Arabidopsis thaliana: one gene and its partners. The protein of the gene in region 2 interacts with the protein of the main gene of each other region in a pairwise test. Each region holds a gene or a part of one and is shown on either strand. Other genes may lie near its edges.

Region 1 (4,577 bases), on a different chromosome or scaffold from region 2:
AGATGAAGGAAGCGGCCAGAGAGGCTGAGGCGGTTGCAATCGCAGAGATTGAGGCTGTTACTGGAAGTATGAATGTTGGTAAGGCCGAGGCTGTGACTATCTCTGCTGAAGAGTATTCTGTGCTTGCTCGTAGTGCTAGAGACGCAGAGGAAGAGGCGAGAAAGCGAGTGGAAGATGCAATGTCGAGAGTTGAAGAAGCTAATGTTTCAAAGAAGGATGTTCTGAAGAAAGTTGACGAAGCGGCTCAAGAAATTGAAACCAGCAAGAGAGTATTGGAGGAAGCTGTGGAGAGAGTTGACGCTGCAAATGCTTCGAAGATCGAAGCAGAAGAGGCGCTGCGAAAATGGCGGTCAGAGAATGGACAGAGGAGAAGATTATCTTCTTCGGTGAACAACACTTCCAAGTTCAAGAGCAGAAGAGAGACAACAACACGTCTGATGGATGTAAACGGTCTGCATCTGACATACGATGTTGTTGACGGGTCATCATCTTCTTCAACGGTCCCAGTCTTGAAACCAACAATGTCAATAGGACAAATACTGAGCAAGAAGCTACTTCTTGCAGAGGATTCAGATATGAATGTTGCTAATGAGAGAAGAAAAATGTCGTTGGGTCAGATGCTTGCAAAGAATAGCAGTAGTGATAAAACTGTAAGCAAGAGAAGTGAAGGGAAAGAGAATGAGAAAAGGACGAAGACTCGAAAGAGAAAGAGTTTCGGATTTGCTAAGATCTCTGTGTTGTTGAACAAAGAGAGCAAGAACAAGAAGAAGAAGAAAAAGATAGCTTTGAACTTAAGGTGATATTTTGAATCTGTTGATGACTTCTTTCTGTTTTGTACGTGAACCAGTAGTTTAAGAAAACAAAGTGTATCATCAAGTGCTTTATTATAATGCTAATCTAGGCTAATTAATCCCAATACGACCATATTAGCATTGACAGAGAAACGAAACAGAGAAGATGATGAAGTATGGAATTTTTCAGTAACTTAATTCTATTACAAAGCTTCTTTTATACTCTGAGAGTTAATATGTATACATAGAACAATCAGTTAAGAGACTAACTAAATCATCATATGACTCAAGGGACTAACAAACTTATCATTTTAAACTGAGGTAGTATCTAATATCCAATGAGACTTGGAACATGATTAGGAAACAATGGTTTTGTAAACACATCTCCTAGTTAATTCTCTCTTCGTAAGTGTAGAGCCATGATCAAAGTAGCTTGGATTCTTCTTCTCACAATATGACTTTGGTGCGTTAATGAAACAATGGATTGTTGTTGGCAATGTGTATAGCTGCAGTAGTAGCCACATATGATATAGCATTGACAAATTGCCAAAACACTTGACTCTGCATTCGCCTCTGTTTTGGCCAACTCTCTGACACCTCTTTAAGCCACAAAACCATTGTAGTAGACAAGAGATTTAAATGACTTACATCTCAAGAAATCAACAAGACTGCCTAATCAATAACGCATTGATCAAAACTACTGAGACTTTCCATCAGCTTTTCATTGAAAGAAAACAAACTGAAAGATTTGAATAAAAGAGTTAAAAGAGTTCACTCCCAAGTCCCAATCACCAACCTCCATGTCCCAGAAGACGCCAATCTCAGCCGCGGCGAAATCTCTTGTGGAGCCGGGAGCGAGACATGGTTATTGGTGTTCTCTGTGTTGAAGATGACTCACCCACCTTTGTGTAATCCTCTGTCTCATAACCATCATCGTTTCTGTTATTGGTTAACTGAAGTCTCCCCTTGAACTGAAGTACTTGTCCACTTCTTGGTGACCAGTTGTGAGATCCCACGATTGAAGATAGGCTTTCCTCCATATGATAGGCTTGTCCAAAGCCACACTGCAGTTACTTGACTAAGAAGCGATTGTGATAAATCATCATCATGAGCCAAGTTCTCAGGCTGAGCTAAGAGAATATTCCCAGTCCTGCTTTTCATCATAAACGAAAGACACTTGACGTACGAGCAGTCATCTGTGATTTTGCTTGAGATTACCATGAGATTAGTTGGTATACGTGTCCGGTCAACTGTCCATAACATAAGCTCCTCCAAAAATCATAGAATGTATCCATTACCTTAATAAATCTTGATTAAATAGTAATATACCGTTATCGGAAAAATAAAATTCAATATAATAGTTTCATTCACTTTTAAAATTTTGGAAAAAATAGATATAAATATAAAACTCTTTAACATTTATCTCCCTAAAACACGAGATTTAACCTAATATAGATCATAATTAAATCAAATAATAATAGGAAAACCAAAAAGGAAAAGAGTCACGTTTATTGTCGGTGACCCGTAGCAACGAAAGAAATAGGAAGGTCAACAATTTTCTCATACCCGTATATAAAACAAATCTATCTCTCCTTCCCTCTTTAATTTATTAATCAGATCTTGCCCAATTCTTCAATTTCTTCAACCCTAATTCTTCTCTCTTTCTCAGATCTACCAAACTTGATCTCCAATGGCTTCCTCAGCACCACCAGTCCTCCCAATCTCCAATCCCCAAACCGTTCCATCCGCCGCTCCTTCCTCCGTCGAATCTCAACCACCGATCGCTACTCCAGCTTTCCGCAATTTCATCAATCAGATCACCGAAACCGTTAAAAACGGTCTCTCTAAGCGTCGTCCTTGGGCTGAGCTCGCGGATCGTTCCGCATTATCCAAACCTGAGTCGATCTCCGACGCTGCTGTTCGTATCCGCAAGAATTACTCGTATTTCAAGGTTAATTACCTCACCGTCGCTACAGCGATCGTCGGATTCTCTCTCGTCACTCATCCTTTCTCTCTCGTCTTCCTCCTCTGTCTCCTCGCGTCGTGGCTCTTCCTCTACTTGTTCCGTCCCACGGATCAGCCGATCGTTCTATTCGGTCGTACATTCTCCGATCGTGAGACGTTAGGGTGTTTGATTTTGTTCAGTATCTTTGTGATCTTCCTCACCGATGTTGGATCTGTTCTGGTTTCGGCTATGATGATTGGTGTTGCGTTGATCTGTGCTCATGGTGCTTTTAGAGCTCCGGAAGATCTTTTCCTTGATGAGCAAGAGCCTGCTGCTACCGGATTCCTCTCTTTCCTCGGTGGTGCCGCCTCTTCAGCCGCGCCTGCTGTTATCGCCGCTCGCGTGTAAATGCGATTCCGATCTACCATTCCCTCGCCTGGGTAAATCTTTCTATATGATTCATTTGTTGAATTTGATACTTAGATTTTGTTTTTTTAATCTGAAAACAATAAACGTGAAAATGTTGTGGATCTGGCCTAATTTTGGTTCTTGTTCATGGGCAATAGCTATAGATGAAATATATATCTTTGCATGATTTTGATTTGATGAAGTTTTACTACCGTTTTGTGTTAATCTTTAGCCTTTTTTAATTTACAAGTGTTGTTTTGGAAGATATGGATTTATTTCATGATCAAATTCAAAATGCAATGGATCTGTTTATTAGAACTTGTAGCCATCTTTTGATTTGTTATGTGACTACATTGCACTGCGTGTATACAATCAAAAGAGTCAAATTTGGATGCATGTGCATGCAAGATCCATCCAAATTTCACCAGTTTTCAAAAGCACCCATCATAAGACAGACCTGGATCAGAGTCGTAGGATTTAACGAAAGGAAATTACTTCCTATTGAGGATGAGCAGCAGAACAATATCCACATTACGCATTTACGCTACTTGACTTGACTTGAAATCGTGGGTCGGAGCAAATGCGATGCACAAATAATTCGATGAGCAGCTTTAGTATTGGGCTTCGTACTCGAGTCCGGCCCAGTATAAGCTCATTTACTTCTTTTCGAGTCCAGTTCGGCAAAGGCCCAATGTCTATGAAATATCGAATTGGTGGCGTATACCCTAAGCCAACAAGGAAGCTTCGTTTTAAAAATGATTTGTTACTTACCTAAAATTAATAGTATTGGGTGACAATCCACCTTACATTCTTATCTTTTTAAGGGTTTTAGCTTACGGTATAAGTCACCAATTTGACATCTTCCATCAACGAAAATTAGTAAATTACAAAAAAGTACAAAGTCTTAGTCGCAAATATCTCTATAACCAAAAGCAAAGCAATATCCTAAGTTGTATTGACCTCGGAAACTAGAATCTCCTTGAACTTGGGATTTGTCAATGCCAGTGACTTAGAAATTGTTCTTTGCGAAGGCAAAAGCTACAGTTTGTTAGTTGGCGCGCAATTTGAGCTGGGAAGAGTCCAATGAGAGTACCAAAAGTCTCGGACTAAACGTCTTCAAAAAAGTAACCATGGAATAATAATTTATTTTTATAGTATAGTTTGAAACAAAGAAAAAAAGAAACACGTTTGTCAGAAAAGTAATAAGTGGAAGATGTCAAATTGCTGGCTTGCACCGTAAGCCAAAAAAACACTGAAAAAGTAAAATTTCAATTTAAGGTGGATTGGTGCCCAAGACTTACAATATCTATTTCTTCACGATATTTACGATAATTTTCAAAGTCTTAGCCGCAAAGAAATCTATAATGACCAAAACATATTGAAAAACAAATCCTAGCATACCAGAATCTGCCTAAACTGGGAAGTCACCACGT
Region 2 (5,464 bases):
TTCGCTTTCCTAACGACTGGCTGAACTTGCTTGCACACCGTGTGATCCATTATTGCTTGACTATAAATTTCTAACTAAAAAACTGCACTAAACTCGATGATGTTGTAGAGGAACTCAAGAACTACACCCACTCTGGTATATAGGAATACCTCATGGTGCGGACAATACAATCCCAGAAAGAAACAACAGGAGACAACTGAAGAGAGAGGTTATAAGAATTCGCAGACTTATTCTTCGAAATCATTCGTCCAACATTCCCGCACCCCTTAGACTCGCCCATTTTCTGCATTGACAATTACTTGATTAGTTTCAAGTTGCAGAGGAGTAGTAACACAGAAATCCATAACATCAAAATCTGAAAGCCAAAACAATAGCATTCAAACTTGTAAAAGCTAACAGTTGTAGATAGACCACCAACCAAGCAGACACAATTGTTCTAATGACCTCGAAAGACACCAAAAGTCCTAAAGAAGTCAAACAAAATCAGCCACCAATTAGATTGAAGATAGTCAACAACAGCCAAAGAGTAAAACCTAATGATTACTCAAACCCTAATTTCCCAGAGTAGGAGCAAAGTTGAAGAATACAAAGGGTATCCATCCATCCACAGAAAGAGTTAATTCCACGGCAAATTTCAGGATCTCTCTTAATCCTCAGCTAATAACTCAATTAAGACTAATGGATACAAATTACACAAATACAGACACCAGATCTGCCGCAGAAACTAATTTTCAGATCAAAATTAACCTCAATTCAACAAGAACAATAAGAGAAACAATCGGATTTAATCCATTATGTAGGTCTAAGATCCATGAATAAGCATAAGATCCGAGGAAGCTAATCAAAAAGACTTTTAACGAAATAAGTCAATTATATTGAAAAGATAAAGGGAAATTGAAGATAAACGGAGAAACAAAGATGATGATGAAATTTAGATCCAAACCTCGGCAATATGGCATAGAAGCAGCTGCCTTCAAAGAACTCCTTTAAATTAATCGGATAATACAGAGAGATAAACAAAAACGCAGAAGTAAAGTTGCTGTTTTGATGCAGAGAGAAAGAGAGAGGAATTTCGAGAGATAAAAAAGAAGAGCAGACGAAGAAGACGAGAGAGAGAGGATAATAGAAGGAATTATAACTAGTACAGAGAAAGAAACGCAGCGCGACTTCTAATGAAATGGGGACACGTGTCGAATGATGTCTGACTTTTTTTTCAAGTGTAAGTTTTCAATTGGGACTTTGGAGACTTGGCCGGTGCGACTTCGTCTACTCCCAGTATTTTGTGGGTCCTAATGAGGGCTATTAGCAGCCGTTAGATCCCCCGATAACTGTTTTGAGATGTTTCCGGTTCCAACTTTTTTTTTTGTCGACTTCCGGTTCCAACTTTGCAATATTTATCATGTAAGAAAGAAAATTTGAGCCTTTCACGAATATGTACAAGTGTCATGTTACCTTACATTACAATAAAATATAAGAGCTTAATTTGCATTCAAAGTTTATCAACTTGACTAAGCTTTGTTTGTGCTTTGAGCATCCCATTCAAGATTCATCCACCAAAATGAGACTTTGAATACACTTTTGATATAACAAAAAACTTGGTCGAATTTCTTTGGTCCTAATTTATTTCCTGAATCCCATCTGTTGTACTGGGCCTAGGCCCAATTGGCCCAATATGTATGTACCATAAAAAAGAAGTCATTAAGTTTTTATGATTGACTTTTTTACATAGAAGCAAAATTATAAATTTGGTGTATGAATGGATGGACTAATTCGAGACGAATCAGATGGCTAACGAAAACCAGACTTGTGTCCGTTTTGCATTTTCGAAAATTATCGGAAGAATCGGTCAATTGATTACCCTCTTTTTTTTTTGTTTACCCCATTTTTTAATAGTCATGAATCATCTTCCTTGGTTGTGTCAGATTACTTAAGTCATTATTTTGTTATAGAGATGCTTTACTAGTATTTTTGATTTGTTTTGGTAAGGACACTTGTCTAGCTAAAGAAATGTTAGTTAAATGAAAGAAAAAAGGTTCAGTAGTTGACCCGTTTAATCAACTGCGAACAACGTTCATACTAATATAATTTGTTACCATAAATTCATAATCTAAACGCGTGCTTAAGTTGTAAACAAAAGGAATTAACAAGGGACACGTAAAGTAGCAATTCCGCAGGAAAAGCGAGGGTAAAATTGTCATTTCAGTGGATCCCCACCACCACCACCACCGCCGCACCAGTTTCTTCTTCATCTCCTACGTCTGAAATTGAGAAATCGGAAGAAGAAAGATAAGTCTAATCTTGTGCCTTTAGATTTCTTTTCGGGGAGATCTAGTAGTTGTTGGATTCGTTAAACGGAGAAGTGGATTTGGTACGAGTCTTTAGGTTTCCTTCTTCACCAAAAGCTCTATATAGAGAGAATCTGCGAGCTCTTTTTGGTAGGAAATTAGGGTTCGTGTTGCTTGGTAAATATAGAATCAATGACGGAGGTTGTTCTGCATATATACGATGTGACGAACAGTGGATCGGAGAAGACTAACAACACCATTGTTCAGATCAATAGGTTCTTCAAAGACGGGATCGGTCTTGGCGGTATATTCCACAGCGCTATTCAGGTACTACTCTTCGTCTATATTCTATGAATCTACATTTATGTACAATTATCGATGATGTCTAAGCTTGGTTTTGGTCTACTTTATGTAGATTTGGTTTTTGTTTCTGTGTATGTATGTGGAAATTAAGAAGTTGACGGCATGATACTTTTCTTTTGATATGTGAGGCTTTAGTTTAATGGTTTATGGTCCTAAAGGTCTGGAGCTGAAGTCTCTCTTTTGCTCAGGATCTTGTGTTTCCTAGTACTTTTGGTAACTTTCCATATGATAATGATTGCGATATATTGACCAAGTGCTCTCTGGAGACTTGTTAAATCCAATGATGGCTTACGTTTACTTCTGTGATCTTTGACCTGGGCAAATATAATTGCATATACCACTTTCCCATTTGAGTCGTGACAATTTGGTGTATTCCAACAAAACTACCAGAATTTAGGTTTTCAAGTTAGTGCTAATCATTCTATGTTCTTAGGTCTGTATATCTATGCAATATCATTTGATTATTCTTGTTCATGGTTTTGTTATTTTTTTGTGTCTTGTAGATGACTATTGATTCGCAGGGAAGAGTGATTGAATAGAATATTTTATGACCTTTGTGCAGGTATATGGAAACGATGAATGGTCTTACGGGTATTGTGAACTAGGAACTGGTGTATTCAGCTGCCCGAGTGGAAAGAATCCAATGTACACATACCGTGAGAAAATCGTCCTTGGCAAAACAGATTGCACAATCTTCATGGTGAATCAGATGTTGCGTGAACTCAGCAGGGAATGGCCTGGACACACTTATGATTTGTTGTCAAAAAATTGCAATCACTTCTGCGATGTACTCTGTGACCGGCTTGGTGTGCCAAAGATCCCAGGTAAAGCCATTTTTTGGGAATCTGGTGTGTGTGTGTGTGTGTTTTGTCTTCAAGGCTTATGTGACGGCTTGGGTTCTGTCTCTTAACAGGTTGGGTTAATCGCTTTGCTAATGCTGGGGACACAGCCTTGGAAGTGGCAGGAAACACAGCAATGCGGGTGGGTTCCCTTTTGTTTAGCTTCTCTACAACGTAAATGCAACATTATGGGTGTTCAAAACTTGTAAATTGGGATTTTGCAGATGAAGCAAGCCAAAACTGAACTTGTGTCAGCTAGTAAAGTGGCTTATCGCTTCCTCTCGAATGTTACTTCGAACGTAACCAATGGCTCCAATGGCTCTCCACAACGACCGGGAACTCTCAACAATTCAGACAGCGGGAACTTGAGATTGCAAGGTAGTTGGCTCAAAGGCTTACTTAACACAGCCAAACCCTCCACTAGTACAGAGATAGGGAACAAAGATGAAGATGCAAATCATGCAGTCACCAATCAGAAGAAACAAAGCCGTGACTCTGATGTTCTACTGTTTCAGTAGCAACCGTACCGATCCACCACAATGCATTCGGTTAGCTGTATATCCACCGGTCTAAGAGTCACGCACTATTCTCCTCGTCTGTACCCATTACTCTGTATCAACGTTGGAACCTGTCATTTTTTCTTGAGTTTTTAGCTCACGTGTGCTTTTGTTAAGATCATTCTCGCTTGTTACTGTCAAATCTTAACATCAAAAGGTTTATTAGTCTCAATACACTAGAAATTGTGACTGAATTTGGATAATCACGTGATTCAAGAGGTACTCTGTAATCTGTATAAAACTTAGAACGTATTTGTGAATGTTACAAAGAGAATTCAGAAAACATCTTTTCAGCTAGTCTAACATCAAAAGATAAACAACGAGGAGGAATTTTCACACCAAAAGGGGTTCTAGAATAAAGAAAAAAACTGCAACTCTACTCATAGCAAACACTTGTTTCTGCAGCCAAGTTTGGCACGATGGCTTTTGTCATCCCCCGAACATCGTCTCGAAGACATAAGCGTTCCTATCAGCGTCCTCAGATATCTGTAGTGACGAAACAGCCTGAGCAGCAATCAAATCTGCAGATATTACCATGTTGTTATCCCAGACATCCTTCATGAATGGCTTATATGACACTGACCAGTTACTATCTCCTAGTCCATAACCATTTGACACAAACCCAATCCCTTGAACCGCATAGCTAGCACAACTTTGGCGAGGAACATAGTTGGTTCTTTCATCTCTAAACAGATCCATTCCGAAACCCGTTTCTTCGCCAAACTTGACTCGAGATGAATCATCAGAATCTTCGCCCAGTAGGACGTGCAGAGCGACAGCTTCTGCAATTGCAGCTCCTTCTTCATCTAACCTTTGTTGTTCTTCCAATCTCTTCTGCTTCTTCTTTTCAAGCTCAGCCCGAATGGCTGCAGAAGTAGCAAGAGCTTTCTCCAAACGTCTCTTTTTCTTCTCAGCTTGTTTGATACGATCAAATTCATCTTTACCATGCTTCTTCACTTTCCTAGTAACTGGCTGAACAACTTGCTTGCACAACGTGTGATCCATTATTGCTTGCTATAACTCTTTGATTCCAACTAAAGTAAAATGCACTAAACTCGTTGTCTAAGAGGATTTCAAAGACTACAACCACTCAGGTATATAGGAATACCTCATGGTCCGAACATTACAATCCCAAACAGAGTCAACAAGAGACAACTCAAGGGAGAGGTTATAAGAATTAGCAGACTTATGATTTGGAATCATTAGTCCTCCTTTCCCACACCCCGTAGACTCTCCCATTTTCTGCATTGACGATTACTTGATTAGCTTATAGTAGTTGCAAAGGAGAAACAGATAAGCCTTGTGCATAACATCAATCTTAAAGCAACAGTCAAAACAATAGCATTCAAACTTGTAGAAGCTAACAATTGTAGTTGCAAAACATTCCACTTTATTCAAGGAACATAAAAAGACACCAAGT
Region 3 (4,439 bases), on a different chromosome or scaffold from region 2:
TAAACCAGGTTTAGTCCTTTTTACATTTTCGTTTTGCTTTCAACTTCTTTGAATTGTTTTCTCATTCTCTTTTATCCAATCTGATAATGAATTAAGTTATTTAATATTTTTACTATTTTGGGTTGCAATCGAATTCTCAACATGGTTCTTAATTTACCTTTGTTAACTCATTGCTTAATAACCTATAGACTGTAAAAAATGCTTAGAAACAGAGTTGATTCAAGCAGGAGACATTGCTCATGAGTCTTGACATATACACACAACACAGACTTTAGTTTTACAGTATAATACAATTCTCAGTGTTATTCTGTTAAACCTAGTGATCTTCATGGTGTGATCAAACTATAAGCAAGAGTGTGAAACAGAGAAGCGAACACGCAACGCAATGGATCTTAACTTTGCAGCTATACACAAGTGACATCATTACCAAAACGATAACAAATCAGCTCCTCATCATTGCTTCACTCACATAACATCAACTAATTTGACAAAACCAAACGAAGGTAAGAACTAAGAAGGATTGGTCTTTAAAAACTTTTAATCTTTGAATTTAACAGCAGGGTTTAGGGTAAACCGACCCAAACCGATACCAAAAATTTTGTTTATAACTCAATCGTTTTTGTGCCACGTGAGCGGAAGGATAATACGTCCAATGGGCTAAAAATAAGAGTGGCCCAATAAACAAGGATGTTTGAGAGTTTTGTGTATTTCAGACAATTAAATACTAGGGTTTATGTGTCTTCAATAACAATCTATCGATAGTCTGAAAGAAAAGAGTTTATGAAAGTTGACCTAACATCTGCGCCAAATAGATCAATCCTTGTTCGAAATTTGAAACAGCGACGATGATGATGTCCGATCTTCCACATGATTTGGTGGAGGAGATTCTCTCTAGGCTTCCGTTGATATCTTTAAAAGCAATGCGATCTACTTGCAAAACCTGGAACGTTCTATCCAAACATCGGAGCTTTGCAAATAAGCACATCGGCAATGTAACCGCATCAGGGAAAAGAGATTTGATAATGATTAAAGATTGTAAGGTTTATTCAATTGGCGTCAATCTCCATGGTATTCAGAACAACAACAACATTATTGATCTATCTATAAAGAATAAAGGTATTCTTCACCTAGAAAATTTAGATCTAATATTCAAGGAAATATTCAATGTCTTTCACTGCAACGGTTTATTGTTGTTATACGGAAGCATCACTGATGATAGTATTAGGCTTGTGGTTTGTAACCCGTATTGGGGGAAACGTGAATGGGTCAAACGCATAAATAATTTTGCAAGTTTTGACAAACTTGCTTTCGGATACGACAAATCTTGTGGTTGCCACAAAATCTTAAGGGTTTTCGATAGTTACCCTAATAGACTTGAAATCTACAATTTGAGGTCTAATTCACGGATGGTTTCTAGTTTCCCTCTTAAATGGGATATAGCGTTTATGCAAGATGGCGTGTCTTTGAAGGGAAATACTTACTGGTATGCTAAAGATAGAAGATCAGAAGATTGTTATTTAATATGCTTTGATTTTACTAGAGAGAGATTCGGACCGCGTCTGCCTCTACCTCAACCCTTCATCGATGAATTTTTGGGGAGTCTATATGTGGTAAGAGAAGAGAAGCTTGCGGTGTTAGTAAAGCGGTGGCGGGGTGGCAAATCTGAGATCGATATTTGGGTTACGAACAAGATTGAGCCCGATGAAGTCTCGTGGAGCAAGTTCTTAAAAGTTGATAACACACCAAGATTTTTTCTGACTGAGGGATACTTGATTTATGATGAAGAGAAAGTCGTAGTGTTTTTTAATAAAGAGGAGACAGAGGGGCTCAAATCCACTGTCCACATAGCTTACATCGTTGGAGAGAATGGTTATTTCAGAAGAGCGGATCTCCGTGAACCTCTATATCAACCACTTTGCCGTCTTGTGTGCTCTTATGTACCAAGTTCTGTGAAGTAGTCTCAAAACAGTGGGTCTCGGTGACTCTCTATGCACACCAGGTCCTATGTGTTCTTATGCTCCAAGTTTTATTCAAATCAAGTTAACCAGACCTATGAATTAGTCTTCTTGCTTTCATCTTATTTTAATATTAATTTGTTTCTCATCTCTTTATGCAATTATATAATGAAGATTTATAAGTTATCAAATTACAAAACAGAGAGACAACAAGTGACGAGCAAGGTACTTTTGTTTAAGCAATTCCTTTGTTTTGTTTACTTTATTTTCGGTTTGGTTATATAAACCGACCCAAACCGAAATCAAATTTTCGTTTATGTAACTCGATCGGTTTTGTCTCATTTCTTATTTGAAGTTTTGAACAACCTTATCCTCTTTCTCTTCTCTTCCTCATCATCAGAGATCAGCCATGGCTTCTTCGACTCTCTTCAAACTCAATTCACAGACATTCAAAGCTCTAAACCCATCTCCTCCTTCGTTATCTCCTCCCAATTCCAGAATTTTCCATCTTCATTTCTCCAAATCACTCTCACAACAGCATTCAAAGCTCAACCACAAATCAACCACTACTCGTTTATTCGCTCCTCTCTGTTCCTCTCTTCCTTCACCTTCTTCTTCTTCTCCTCCCCTTTCCAAAGAAGAAGCCATTAATCAAGCCAAAACTTGTCTCCTTTCATGTCTCATCAAACCCTTAAACAACCCAAAACTCGCTTCCCCAAAACTCAGGAAGCTCAAACAACCAAGATTCCGTCTTGAAATCCCAATCCTTGACGATGATTCTCCTTCGTCACTCTCTCAGCTCGCTTTCTCGATCTTTCATGACTTACCCATCTCGAGAAGAGGCTCTAATGTCAAGCTTCTCTTCCTCTGGCCTAACCCTTCATTCATCGATCCCGCCGTTAAAGCTTTCCGGTCAGACTCTATCCACCACATTGCCATGTCTCCGGTCTCAGACTCTCTTAAAACAGCTCTGAGATCTGCTGACGTGGCGATCTTCATGGCTCCGGAGAAATCGCAGCTGGAGGATGTTAAGACCGCGAGTGAAGCTTTTTCTACAAAACCTGTAGTAATGATCAATCCGAGATGGTTGTTTGAAGAAGAGAAAAGCTTTGGAGATGGCTTTATTGGTTCCTTTGAAGTGATTTATGCGTTCACTGGCTTAGAAGTGAGAGGAGTGTTTAGTAAGAGAAAAGGAGTGATCTTTAAGTGTGTAAGAGACGGTGTTGTGAGTGGAGAAAGATGGAATGTTCTCGTTGAAGAAGAAGAAGGTAATGGTACTTTGAAAGTTGTTTCACAATTCAATTCTCGACCATCAATCGAAGAAGTTGAGCTTGTTCTGTATAACTTGATGGCTATGAATTCTCCTATTACCAAATCAGCTAAGTTTCTTAGTGATTTGGTTTCAAATATCACTGGGAAGAAGTAGTTTGTTAGGACTTCAATGTGTATTGATTGTGGATTCAATTCAAAATAATAAGATTTTAATACTTGTTTTTGAAGCAAAAGAGAGACTACACAACACCATTAATGAAAACTAATTCAGATCTAATCTAATGAAAGACTAAGCTACACATTAATTAGCTAAACAACCACAACACAAATCCCTAATCTAATCTTCATCAGCGGAAGGTTTTGAAGCACCAGCTTTCTTGGGAAGAAGAAGACTGTGAATGTTAGGCATCACACCTCCATTAGCAATCGTCACATCTCCAAGCAGTTTACTCAGCTCCTCATCGTTTCTCACCGCGAGCTGAATGTGACGTGGCACAATCCTAGTCTTCTTGTTATCCCTAGCTGCGTTTCCAGCCAATTCCAATACCTACAACACAACAGATCCAATTTAGAAATTAGGGTTTTACGAAATTGAAGATCGAAAGAGTAAAGAGATATAGGGAGAGAAGGGGATAATTACCTCAGCGGCGAGGTATTCGAGAACGGCGGCTAAGTAAACCGGAGCTCCGGCACCAACACGTGTTGCGTACTTGCCGTTCTTTAGAAAACGAGCGATACGACCAACGGGGAATTGGAGACCGGCTTTGCTGCTTCTCGATGTTGATTTCTTAGCAACGCCAGATCCGAGAGTTTTGCCGCGACCCGCCATTTGTGATTTGGGAAGAGAGATAGAAAAAGTTGAAAATTCTCAATGCGAGGGAAATTAAGATAAGCGTAAGAGGACGCTCTTTGGTTATTATATATACTGTGTAGAGACGGTTGAGTGATTCTTATCCAATAATAAACAATCACGCGGATCGATGTTACTGCCGTTGGATTAGATTATGATCGACGGTTTATAATTGGCACGCTTGAATTTACGTTTTTATACTCCTGAATTCATTGTTAGAATTGGGATTGACGGAAATACCCTTCAGTGGGTATAATCGACATGATTTAAATAGTGAAAATATTTTGTAACTCAAACATATTTTCGCAAAATAACTACTAAAATAGTAGATTAATGATATTTTTAGTTTGTTAATTATACAC

Evidence for each region. Proteins that work in one complex are often made in the same cells at the same time.
Region 1: the proteins of AT4G25680 (region 2) and PRA1.B4 interact in a two-hybrid assay, tested with the Arabidopsis thaliana proteins (one large-scale study listed by BioGRID).
Region 3: the proteins of AT4G25680 (region 2) and AT3G20680 interact in a two-hybrid assay, tested with the Arabidopsis thaliana proteins (one large-scale study listed by BioGRID).

Annotation. Positions count from the first base shown.
Region 1 is NC_003071.7:16,068,407-16,072,983, reverse strand, and holds PRA1.B4 (prenylated RAB acceptor 1.B4), read left to right. Parts: upstream 1-2,319; 5' UTR 2,320-2,481; coding exon 2,482-3,144; 3' UTR 3,145-3,598; downstream 3,599-4,577. Other genes in the region: AT2G38370 (weak chloroplast movement under blue light protein (DUF827)), read left to right, coding at 1-800; AT2G38365 (endonuclease/glycosyl hydrolase), read right to left, coding at 1,734-2,054; AT2G38350 (uncharacterized protein), read right to left, coding at 3,676-3,915. UniProt on the Arabidopsis thaliana protein: May be involved in both secretory and endocytic intracellular trafficking in the endosomal/prevacuolar compartments.
Region 2 is NC_003075.7:13,085,948-13,091,411, forward strand, and holds AT4G25680 (PPPDE putative thiol peptidase family protein), read left to right. Parts: upstream 1-2,025; 5' UTR 2,026-2,477; coding exon 2,478-2,612; intron 2,613-3,210; coding exon 3,211-3,472; intron 3,473-3,561; coding exon 3,562-3,629; intron 3,630-3,711; coding exon 3,712-4,005; 3' UTR 4,006-4,214; downstream 4,215-5,464. Other genes in the region: AT4G25670 (stress response NST1-like protein), read right to left, coding at 1-50; AT4G25690 (stress response NST1-like protein), read right to left, coding at 4,474-5,049.
Region 3 is NC_003074.8:7,229,089-7,233,527, reverse strand, and holds AT3G20680 (plant/protein (DUF1995)), read left to right. Parts: upstream 1-2,333; 5' UTR 2,334-2,364; coding exon 2,365-3,381; 3' UTR 3,382-3,460; downstream 3,461-4,439. Other genes in the region: AT3G20700 (F-box associated ubiquitination effector family protein), read left to right, coding at 1-3; AT3G20690 (F-box and associated interaction domains-containing protein), read left to right, coding at 846-1,958; HTA13 (histone H2A 13), read right to left, coding at 3,565-3,774, 3,868-4,056.